2 linked regions of the Saccharomyces cerevisiae S288C genome follow. The protein of the gene in region 1 purifies or fractionates together with the protein of each later gene. This does not show direct contact. Each region holds a gene or a part of one and is shown on either strand. Other genes may lie near its edges. The genes, in order: LYS14 and IRC20.

Region 1 (5,129 bases):
TGCTGATGTGATGACAAAACCTCTTCCGATAAAAACATTTAAACTATTAACTAACAAATGGATTCATTAGATCTATTACATTATGGGTGGTATGTTGGAATAAAAATCAACTATCATCTACTAACTAGTATTTACGTTACTAGTATATTATCATATACGGTGTTAGAAGATGACGCAAATGATGAGAAATAGTCATCTAAATTAGTGGAAGCTGAAACGCAAGGATTGATAATGTAATAGGATCAATGAATATTAACATATAAAATGATGATAATAATATTTATAGAATTGTGTAGAATTGCAGATTCCCTTTTATGGATTCCTAAATCCTCGAGGAGAACTTCTAGTATATCTACATACCTAATATTATTGCCTTATTAAAAATGGAATCCCAACAATTATCTCAAAATCCACATTCTCAACATTTCTTGTGCATCATATAATCTTAGGAAGAAGGACACTATTATATAAATATCGTCTATTAAGTACTATTCGTGTTACTGGTATATTATTATATATGGTTGTTAGAATAAAAATCCACTATCGTCTATCAACTAATAGTTATACTATCAATATATTATCATATACGGTGTTAAGATGATGACATAAGTTATGAGAAGCTGTCATCGAAGTTAGAGGAAGCTGAAGTGCAAGGATTGATAATGTAATAGGATAATGAAACATATAAAACGGAATGAGGAATAATCTTAATATTGGTATATAGAAATATAGATTCCATTATGGGGATTCCTAGACCCTCGAGGAGAACTTCTAGTATACCCTATATACCTAATATTATAGCCTTTATCAAAAATGGAATCCCAACAATTATCTCAACATTCACCCATTTCTCAATGGTGTAAGAAGAGCACATAAAGATTGAGAAACTGCCATCAAATCTAATGGAATCTGAATGCAGTGATTGATAATATGATAGGTTAATGACTGACAACACATAAAATGAAAAGAAAAATAACAATATTACTTGAAATGTTTGAAATGTCAATTCCCTTGTGCAGATTCCTATATCCCTGAGGAGGTGTTCTAGTAAACTCTGTATACCCAATGCTATAGTCTTTTACCAACATTGAAACTCAAGAATTACCTCAATATTTACCTACTCCTGAAAAGGAAAAGAAGAAAAAAATTATAATATTATTTATGGTTATTATCAACATTTTGAAGTAGCCTTCTAAAATCTGAGGATAATTTCTAGCATATGTCACTAATGTATGTCATTACCCGTTACTCAAAAGCATGATAAAAAAAATCACCATAATATACGCTTGGCTTTTACTCCTTGCTAAATAAATTACACAATGCTCAAAAATGTTCTTTATTCTAAAGGATTCATTGAAACAGGCAACCATTCAGAAATCATCGATAGTATTAAGCGCATAAACATTTAGAATATACATCCCTAATTTTGAAATTTAAATCAGATATTGTCTAAACATGTGCTCTGACTCGCTATATTATGCAGAATGTACAATCTCGTCTAAGCATATGTCACCATCTTCTTTTCCTGCAAGCCAGACACATTCTCTCTTTTTCAAGAAATTGTTGTCTACAATAACGTATTACGAAATTAGGCGACTGCTGGTATAGATCACAGAGACAGGGCCTCACTTATTTGATAACACAAGGAAACGATGACCAAACAGCGTTACAGCACGGTATGAATAAAACGACACCTTCTTAGCCGTGAATTCCGCGCTTCAAGTTGCACATCATTGCCTACGAGGACGCGACGTGACTCAATTGGAAGAAATGACAGTGGAAAAATTTCCTCAGGAATTTCAAAATCATAACCATAGGCCGATTAGAATGCTTATTGTTCTGCATCACTTCAGTCTAGGCGAATAAGAAAAGCCCAGCAGAGGTCATCACGTAGCTACAGGAATTGCTGTGAACGTTGCTAGATAAATTTTCCTTTTTAGTCCTTATCTCCCTGTTTCTTCCTTCTCTCATCATTTTGGTATAAGATCTGTTTTCTGGCAATAATGTTCGAATCTGTCAATTTGGATGAAAATTCTCCAGAGGATAGAGAACTGGCTAAGGTTTTGTCCCCACCGGGTAGTTATCTTTCTCCAGCTTCACTAGACAGTGGTTCATCGTTCACAAATAGTGGGACTTCAACTAGTTGCTTTGAACCAAAAAACAATCTACCCTCCTTATCGTTTTTAAATGCTAGAGCGGGATCTTTAGGTGGCATTTTTAATCATAAACAGATGACCTCGCCGTCAAATTCGAATATAGGAGGCGAAAATGTAGAATCGACCACAAGTAGTAATGACGGCAGTAATGAAAATGCAGGTCATCCCACTACTTCAGAGCAAGATCAAAATGCAGATCACCCCACTATTTCACAGGCAGATGATAATGGACACTCATCGTTGACCCCTAATCCTGCTGTAACTTCAACTGTTACGGATAAGAAGGGAAATACAGTAAAACGGAAGTACTCCAGAAATGGGTGCTCCGAGTGTAAGAGACGAAGAATGAAATGTGATGAAACTAAACCGACTTGTTGGCAGTGCGCAAGATTGAATCGTCAGTGCGTTTACGTTTTAAACCCAAAAAATAAGAAAAGAAGAACCTCAAATGCTCAAAGAGTAAAAGAATTTAGGAAGCACAGTACTAGCCTCGATAATGATCATAATAATGCTCGCAAGCGTCAGCATTCGTCATGCAAGGCTGAGAAGAAGAAAAAAGTACGACAAAATTTAAGTGAAGACACCACGGACCCTAAACCGATTACAGATAACGGCAAGAATGTACCTTTGGATGAAATAGAATCCCTAGAGATTCCAAATTTGGACCTTACCACCACAATGAATGGATATGACGTTAATTTACTAATGCAGAACTTGAATGATATGGTTAATATGAAACTTCATGACTCTTACTTATTGAATGAAGAACTGAAAGGATTAGATTTGCCCGATTTGGACATACCTGAACTTTTGCCCGCTTCGAATGTGAACAGTAGCGTACCAATATCCTTTCTGGTGAATAATGTAATAACTTTCAACACAAAACTAAGCTCGTTCAAACTAGGTGGAATCCACGATAAGTATCTAAAGATATTTTACTACGATTGCTTAGATTCTATTGCGCCCTTTTTCCAAAATCAAGGGAACCCGTTAAGAGATATCTTACTTTCATTTGCGAAAAACGAGGCCTATCTTTTATCTTCCATATTAGCTACGGGAGCATCTATAGCATATAGAAAGTCTAATAACTTGGAAGATGAACGAAACTATTGTGCTTATTTGTCACATTGCCTGAGCCTGTTGGGTGAACAATTCAAGAATGAGTCAAACGTTTTAAATAGGATAGAGCCTATCATCCTGACGGTCATCATGCTTGCATGGGATTGTATTTATTCAATGAATTCTCAATGGAGGTCTCACTTAAAAGGTGTAACTGACCTTTTTAAAAAAATCAATGCCGGGAATTCCTCCAAAGTACTTAACGTTGCAAAATGTTGGTTTAAAGTTATGGAAACATTCGCCAGTATAAGTACGGTATTTGGCGGATCTTTAATTGATAATAATGACCTTGATGCAATTTTTGATCCATATGATTACCAATATGTTGACTCGTTAAAATTTTTAAATATTATGACTCCACTAAATGAGTTTAATCTTTTAAGAGGACATAAAGAAGATTTCGATCTTGTTATTAAAGAAGTTTTCAAATCACTCAATACAATTAGGTCAACTGAAAAAAATTACTTTTCTAAAGAAGAAGGTTTGTTCACTAAGAAATTAGACTATCTGCTTTTATCATCCCAAACTTCGTCCGAAAAGTCCAAAGACCAGATATCATATTTCAATACGCAGAAAATTCTAGTGGAAATTGACAAGCAATTAGATTACGAATTTATTGACAAATCTGGAATTATACCCTCAGACAATCAGTCACACCCTAGAATTAGTAATATTCATGATAATGCCATCGATATGGTGACATTAAAGAACGGTGAAGAAGTTGCCATCAGCTGGTATGATATTTCTCATCAGACACAAGTTTTATCTTTCTTATTAATTGTATTATTAAAACTTTTAGGTATGCCAAAAGAGTCAAGTACCATTCAACAAGTGGTCAAGAAAATCATGTCTTTCTTCAAATTCTTAGACAGTGACTCGCCGCCACAAAATTCAAGGACTTGTTATAGTAATTTTGCTGTATTGATTGCAGGTTTGAATGCAATGGACGAGGAAACAAGAGCGATTGTTAAAAGATATTATAAAATCAATGGTGGAAAATTTCAAAAGCTCACAGAACATAATCTTAACAGACTGGAAAAGGTCTGGTATGGTAAAAATCAAAATTACAGGTTAGAAGAACAAGACGTTTTAACATGGTAGTTTGTCTGTTTACGTAATAATTTTGCCTGTAGATTGATATAAAATTGTGTACGGATAATTGCACTGGCACGTCAAAAGTCCGAGAACTATTTTTCTCGAGAATGCCGCGCAAAGCAGGCACCGTGCCTTTATCTTTCTTTTTTTTCCTCCAGCACTAAACCTTCCATAACAATACTATTAGAAAGGTTGTTATCAAATATTAAAATAACTATTAAAGTGATACAAATATATATATAGATGACGATGGGCATAAAAAAGCTCGTTTCTAATCATCAACTATACGTTTCTTGATCAAAATGCACTGAGCAAAATATTGTTATGAAAACATACTTGCTTGACGAAATGGATTAAATGGATCCATTAAATTAAAAAATGAGTCTAGAATTGCACTTTATGATAGAAAATAAAAATTCGACAAGAAATGGTGATAATTTAACGAACGAAAATATTGAAACGTCAGGAAAATAAAATAAAATATGATAAAAGTTGAAGATGGAGTAAAATAATCTTGTCAAATAATCAATAAAGACAGTTTTATCCATTTATAGGATTGGCTTGAAGTAGAAAATTCTTCAAAGATGATTGAAAGAAAGAAGAAAGTAGCACATAATTGACATGACGATTGGCTTATTCTTCAGACTTCTTAGACTTCTTAGATTTCTTGCTCTTCTTAGACTTCTTTTTCTTGTCCTTACTCAAGTTTGGTGTAGCAGCAGGTCTTGGACTAGCAACTGGAGCTTTTGGAGCCATCAC
Region 2 (7,367 bases), on another chromosome or scaffold:
TCTGCCTTTGTTTGCGGATCATCCGATTTCCTCAATTTTGGTTTTATAGAGCGTGTGAATTCAATCGGTTCAAAAAGAAGATTCTCAGGTTTTATATCACGATGCACTACACCTAGTGAATGCATATGTTTAACAGCCAGTGCTAATTGTTTGATTACATGCCTTGATAAATCTTCACTGAAATAGGTCAACCTAACAATTTCGCCGAAGATTTCCCCACCGGTTAGTAACTCTTGAATAATATAATAATAGCTATCTGTTTCTTGGAAGTCTATGAACGCGACAATTTGTGAACAACCAGCGGAAACCGTCTTATGTAGTGCAACTTCCTTCAAGACTTGATCTCTGGAAGAAGTTTTAGTGCTGTCCTTCCCTTTGTCCTTCTTACGATGATCACCATTAATCGAGGATAAATCTGCCTTTTTGATAACTTTAATGGCAACAGCTTTATAGTTTTTAGTTAAAAATTCATTAGAACTATTTTTAGCAGGTATGGCTCTAAAGACTTTTGAAAAAGCACCTTCACCGATTTTATTGATCAGCTTGTAACCTATCAATTCCTTTTGTTCGAGGAAGGATTTTTCCGGAATTTCATCTTCCATATTGTCATCATCAGTACTGTCATCCTGGATATCACTGATAATCTCGCTTTGTTCCGAAAGAGATTCGTCAGATATTAAGGGGTCGGAACTTAATTGACCTTCACTACTTTCATGGACATCGATAGCTGGCACGGAAGTAACTGTTTCCACATTTTCCGTGGTAATATTATCACTCGGTGAAGAGTCCGAGTCTATCGTGGTTACTAATTCATCGGTTAAAGACTTCATATGATGGTCATCTGCGACAACACTCGGGTACTGAACTATATTTTTGTCCTGAAAGCTTTTCTTAGGGGAAGAAGTAATCTGGGAAACATCTTTGTTATTTGTACCGCTTGACCTGGTCTTACCCTTGAATGGTTTTTTAGATTCCTGAGACAAATCTGCCTGATCCGGTTTCTTTTTCGAGAAAAGGGCCTTTATTTTAAGCATCGAAGAGATTTTGTTTGATCCTCTCTAAATAAGCAGTACTCTTAACAATACTTTCGTCTTTTCCAATCGTTAAATGTTTGTACTTCAAATAACGTATGAACTATCTGGGATTTTATTTTCTTTAATTTTTTCGATGTCACTCTTTTTTTTTCTTTGGCCGATCCGTCTTTTCTAGTAAGCGTTTGTAAAAAGTTAGATGTCAATAGGAGAGATAAAGCCCCAGAGATAGAGTTTGACTTCGTTGAAATAACTGTCGCTGATTACTATTATCTAGGATTCTTGACGAGGTTTCCTCTTAATCACTGGATTTATAATTATAACCTTAAACCTAGCCAGTAAAAAAGTTTAAAAAGAACAAAAAACAATAACAAATAAATGTCCCTTTATCCTCCTTTTTTCTCTTGATTGCTATAAAGTAAAAAGATTACTAGACTTTATGCCAACGTACTCGTGGACGACTAAAACTAACGGTGATTTTTTGGATCGTAGTGGCTCTTTTTCAGCCTTCGTACTTTCAAGAATAAAGGAAATGGCAACTACTAAAAAGAGTGCCTGCGCAACGGATGTTTTATTAGCTTGAAGATGTAGCTGAATAACTCCTGTTTTTAAGTGAGCTCGAAATGACGAACCAGTCAAAGAACAAACTTGACCGCAAATACAGGGACATCCAAGGAGTCTGGGATAGCTTCACTCCTATGAGAGCTCAAGGAATTACCTGCTCGCATCTCTGACCAAGGATAAGGCTCGTTTTTTCCTTTTTCGGAACACTCGAACTGCTACCCGTCTTTTCCAGATCTACAGCTGATGAAATGTGGCTGATGAATGTATTGATTTGCCACTTTCTAGGCGCTGTCTAAAGGAATGAACTCCAGGAAAGGCCAACTTATTCGACGGTAAATGTCTGCAGTAGGTGCGCTATTAGCAAGGGAGTACAACGTGACTGCCGAAAAATGCGACTTTTTCCTAGAAAATGGTTCTTTTGATTCAGTGATAGCAGCATTGCCAGCGCTAAATCAGGAACAAGAGACTGTAACTCAAAAAGTTAGCAAGAACGGAAAAGAATTAATCAACGTTGCCTCGGTAAATATCGAAATACCAGAGCGAATAAGTCTTTCCAACAACGGTAGGCAGTTATTTAAATTTATTGTTGATATAGAGATCTTACCTTGTGAAAATGATAACGAGGCAACACTTGTTGTGTCGTCAGATTCCGTATCCTTATTTCAAATTGGATTTAAAATGGAGAACAATTCAAAAATCGCTGTTGACAAACAACTTCCGCTGATCTTGGATATATGTGCTCATAAAAACCAAGAAAGGGCCCTACGAAATCAGTTAGAAAATCGTAAATCTTTAGAACGCAAACCATCAAGAAAGAGAAGAAAAAAAAATTCAAATGTTAACGATCCTGAAAAATTACTAAAAAGTCGTATACACGAATTATCTTTGTCCTACAAAGATTTTGAATGCTCTCCAGTCGTATTCCGATACAATGATTCCTCTTTAACATGGGTTTTATCTTTTAATTTGAAGTTGAAGTTTTTAAATAATAAATTCAACCGGTTTTCCGTGGAGGCTAACCAAATACTGGACTTGACGTTCTCTAATAGGGACGAGAACGAATTTGAGCGATATCACAAGCACAGCCATATCCATTCAAACTTCATTCAAAAACAATTTATTTCTCAAATCTTGGAATATAGTAAAGATAGGCTATCAAAGATCAAACCGTTCTTACCCCAATCTATACCAGACCTAAAAGTTAACCTCTTACCATTTCAAAGAGAGAGCGTTGAGTGGATGCTAATTAAAGAAGGGCATGGTAATTCTCTTAGTGATACACCTACAGTCATCGACGAAGTAGGGCTTATAGATTTTATGAACGAGTACTATGCATACGGTTACGAGCTCATTGCACGCAGCCCTGACGAGGTAGGGCCATCATTGTTATGGAACAAATTAACAGGATATATTCTAACTACAGAAGATGCTGCACATTTGTACAACCAATATAGGAAGGAAAGGTTAAGCGGCGACTACCCAGTTTGTGCAAAGGGGGTGTTAGCAGAAGAGATGGGGTTGGGCAAAACTATTGAAATTTTATCACTAATACTCTTAAATAGAAGGAAATTGAAGGACTCAGAGGCAACATTTATTGACGATGAAAATAGAACAATCACGAAGACAAAGACGACTTTGATTATCTGTCCCAATGCTATCTTAAAACAATGGCTCGAAGAAATCGAATTACACGCAAATTCCTTAAAATGGTATACCTATAGAGGATATAATGAGATAATGAAAGATTGCAAAACTGTGGACGAAGCTGTTCAACAATTGTGCCAATACGATATTATAGTTACATCATATAACATTATTGCCACGGAGGTCCATCATGCTGAGTTTAACCGTAGTATCAGATCGAGAAGGTTGAAAAGCCCAAAGTATGACTATTCTTCACCGTTAGCTTTGATGCAGTTTTATAGAATCATTCTGGATGAAGTTCAAATGCTACGTAGTTCATCAACATATTCTGCAAAATGCACGAGTTTACTTCATAGAATACACACTTGGGGTGTTTCCGGGACTCCAATACAGAACATTTACAACTTTAGGATGATCATGTCTTATTTAAAGCTGCATCCATTTTGTGATGAGGTAGACTTTATTCGGACACTTCAAGAAGAAATTAAACTAAGAAATGAGGCTAAAGATTACACTAGTAATGATTTTGTATGCCAATTAAAGGGCGTTCGGTTTTCTATCAAGGATTGTATGAACATTTTTTACAGGTATGATCTTTGCATAAGGCATTCGAAAGCCAATGTTGCGTCTCAGATTCATATTCCGCGGCAACACAACTTCATCATTCCCCTGGAGTTTGCGCCTATCGAGTGGGACAACTATTTAAATCTTTGGAACAATTTTTTAGAGTTGAGTGGCTATAATTCGGATGGCAGTGGATCACCCCGTGTAAGCAATGCCTTTTTAAACGAATGGTTGTCTAGGCTGCGATATATATGTTGCCATGCATTATTTCCAGAAATTTTAAGTACCCGACAGAAGCGCCTTCACGGGCACTTGTCAAGAATTTCAAATATAGACGATATCTTAATATCCATGCGAATGGATGCATTTGACAGTTTAATTGGCTATTACAGAGAGAGATTCCATTTATCGATCAAGCAGGCACAGTATGAACTTGAAATTTCCAATACTCCGGCCAAAGCCCTTGAATCATTTATCAAAATCAGAGATGATTTGATGATACACATACGCCAAAAATTCAACGTTGAGGATCCGTTTGATAAGTCGTTAAACCTCAGTGAAGATGAGGACGAACATATGGACGAGAGGTTTGGTGAGAAGGAAACATCTTCAGGCGACGAAAGCGATAGAGAAATAAATGGTGCTAAAAACCATGATAATCACAACAATGACGGAATGTTATCCAACCACCTGAAGAAGAAAGGATTACGTGCTATGATGAATTTACTGCATGATTGCTACTTCTTCCTCGGTTCTGTTTACTATAACTTGGGCACTCGTAAGCTAGAAGAGGCGGACGACAAGCATCGAAAAGAGAAGACTGAAGAAGTGGTGTATTCTGATGTTTTTCCAAAAAATGAGTTAGAGGAAATTGAAGAGAATAGACTTTTAGAACAAGAAAATTATGCGAATGCAGAAATTTTGAGGAAGTCAATCCTCTCCTCTGAGGCTAGAAAAGTTGATATGACTATTAAAATGGCCAGAACTAAGTTTGCTCCTATGACGAGCAATATACCTTTGCGATTAATCAATATTGAATTTGACCACAAAAATGACTACTCATCTAATTTAGCAGTATCTCGTTGTTTCAAGTCTTTGAGTAAGTTGATAGAAGGGTTGAATGAACAAACTAAAAACTTCAACGAGTTATTGGATGAGTTACTCATTATTATCTATGAACCTGTCCACAGGACAGAGGACGATGATAGCACTAATAAAATTATCGGTAATGAAGAATATTCAACATCGATTGACAGTCAAGATAAGATATTCAGTCTTCTTGGTTGCTTGGAGATAATTTTACAGAATAGGGACAATATTTTAACTTCAGAATCAGAAGTTAAAATTCCGAAGCATTTGGTACCGGAAGGTTCAATAATTTCAAAATATCAAAAGCAGTTATTGAACAGCTTGCGCTTGATTTCAGGAACACCTCTACGAACTGTTTTTGATGAACTGAAGAACAGCAGGATAGTAAGACGGATATCCTCAAGCAATGAAAGTGAATCTACCATTCAAAATTTTGAGGACTACTTACTTCAGTACGAAGTTGAAAGTAAAAGCCTGTTTAAGTACAATAAACAGGTAAGAGAATCTTTGAAAATCCTGGGATCGATTTATAATGCCAAGACGGAATATTATAGTCAATTACAGAGGATTTCCGATTCATTGGTGTCCTTGCACTCTTTGAGTGCTCCACAACTCAGCCATCTAATAAGAACTATCAATAAGTCATTGGGCGGTACACTAGATGCAAAAATCAATAACATTGAATCACGGCTGATATATTTAAAAAATTTGTCCAGATTGAAAGACACATTAAACGATAATCAAATATTGAGCTGCTCTATCTGTTTGGGAGAAGTTGAAATAGGTGCTATCATTAAGTGTGGACATTATTTTTGCAAGAGTTGTATCCTTACGTGGCTACGAGCCCATAGTAAATGCCCTATATGCAAAGGTTTCTGTAGTATATCGGAAGTCTATAACTTTAAGTTCAAGAACTCAACGGAGAAGAGGGAAAAAGAAATTCAAGAGCCACGAAGAGAGGGCGCCGATTCGTCTCAAGATAATTCAAATGAAAACTCGATTATATCCAATATGAGTGAAGTAGAAAAATTATTCGGAAATAAATACGAGCAATTCCATCAAATTAATGAAGTCCATCAAATTCACATAAAGGAAAGTTTTGGTGCTAAGATTGATTTCGTCATCAAGTTAATATCTTACCTGAGGCTAAAAAGTGAGCAGGAAAACGCTGATCCGCCACAAGTTATTCTATACTCTCAAAAGACAGAATATTTAAAGGTCATTGGTAAGGTATTAAAGTTGTATCACATTGAACACTTGGCATGTCTATCTAATACAGCCAATGTTGGCGAAACTATAAATAACTTCAAACGCCAGCCTTCCGTCACTTGCCTACTTTTGAATGTGAAAACTTTAGGTGCCGGCCTGAATTTGATAAATGCAAAACATATTTTCCTACTAGATCCTATCCTTAATAATAGTGATGAATTACAAGCTATGGGAAGGAATAATCGTATAGGACAAGATGAAGAAACTTTTGTGTGGAATTTCATGATCAGAAATACCGTTGAAGAAAACATCCTCAGATATAAATGTATACTCGAAGAGCGCAAAAGAAAGGAGAAGTCAAAAAAAGGCGATAAATACGACGAAGCACAAGATGAAACGGATAATGAGGAAAGCGATGATGCGAAGTTTGAGATAAGCGTGGTAGACCAAGAAGTCAGTAATGAACACTTATGGAACTGCTTTTTTCACGGTAGTGATTAGAGAAGTATGACTTTTAAACCAGACACTAATATATTAAAATATTTAATCTTTTGAATTTTTATATAAACGGTTGCCGTAATTACTATATATATATTCAATGGTAGGAAAAAAAGATGCTGCACGTTGTCTGACATCTGAAGAAGAGTGCTAATATGTAGCTTCAAAATTTTCGGAAGGCAAAAATAATGGTTGCTAAGAGATTCGAACTCTTGCATCTTACGATACCTGAGTATTCCTACAGTTAACTGCAGTCAAGATATTTTCTTGAATCAGGCGCCTTAGACCGCTCGGCCAAACAACCACTTATTTGTTGTAAAAGTTATACGAAAAGAACCTTTTAATGAATGTTTTTTTTAACATTCTAGCCAATTTCCAACGTTTATTTGCGTATACTCAACCTATACTATGGCGGAATTCACTCCTTTCAGTAACCTTTTTATATTTTACGTACTACTGTGTCGCTGAGTTCTTTATATCTATACTTCCTTATATTTTCTGTATTTTTTCAAAGCTGTGTGCTGGCGATAAATCCATAAATCTCCAATCTCCAGCTTCATGTGGCTTTCTGGCACTTACAAAGCTTGGGCCCCTTGGTTCTAACATCAAGTGACCCATATTTTTCAAAAAGGACCCCTTATTATATATGTTTTCCTCCTTGACCACACGATGGAATACAGGGTTTTTTTTCGATCCAATACCTTTCAAAAATTCCCTTGTTGTTTGCTGATTACCTGCCATAAATATGTGATAAGTAAACAGTATTGC

What was found.
Region 2: the proteins of LYS14 (region 1) and IRC20 purify together in Saccharomyces cerevisiae (affinity purification with mass spectrometry, with the first as the bait; one large-scale study listed by BioGRID). This does not show direct contact.

What each region holds. Positions count from the first base shown.
Region 1 is NC_001136.10:508,984-514,112, reverse strand, and holds LYS14 (Lys14p), read left to right. Parts: upstream 1-2,003; coding exon 2,004-4,376; downstream 4,377-5,129. Other genes in the region: MRH1 (Mrh1p), read right to left, coding at 5,004-5,129. UniProt on the Saccharomyces cerevisiae protein: Activates the transcription of lysine biosynthesis genes. This activation is dependent on the inducer alpha-aminoadipate semialdehyde and repressed by lysine.
Region 2 is NC_001144.5:627,919-635,285, reverse strand, and holds IRC20 (E3 ubiquitin-protein ligase IRC20), read left to right. Parts: upstream 1-1,931; coding exon 1,932-6,602; downstream 6,603-7,367. Other genes in the region: serine/threonine protein kinase RCK2, read right to left, coding at 1-1,034; palmitoyltransferase ERF2, read right to left, coding at 7,089-7,367. UniProt on the Saccharomyces cerevisiae protein: Is probably involved in a pathway contributing to genomic integrity.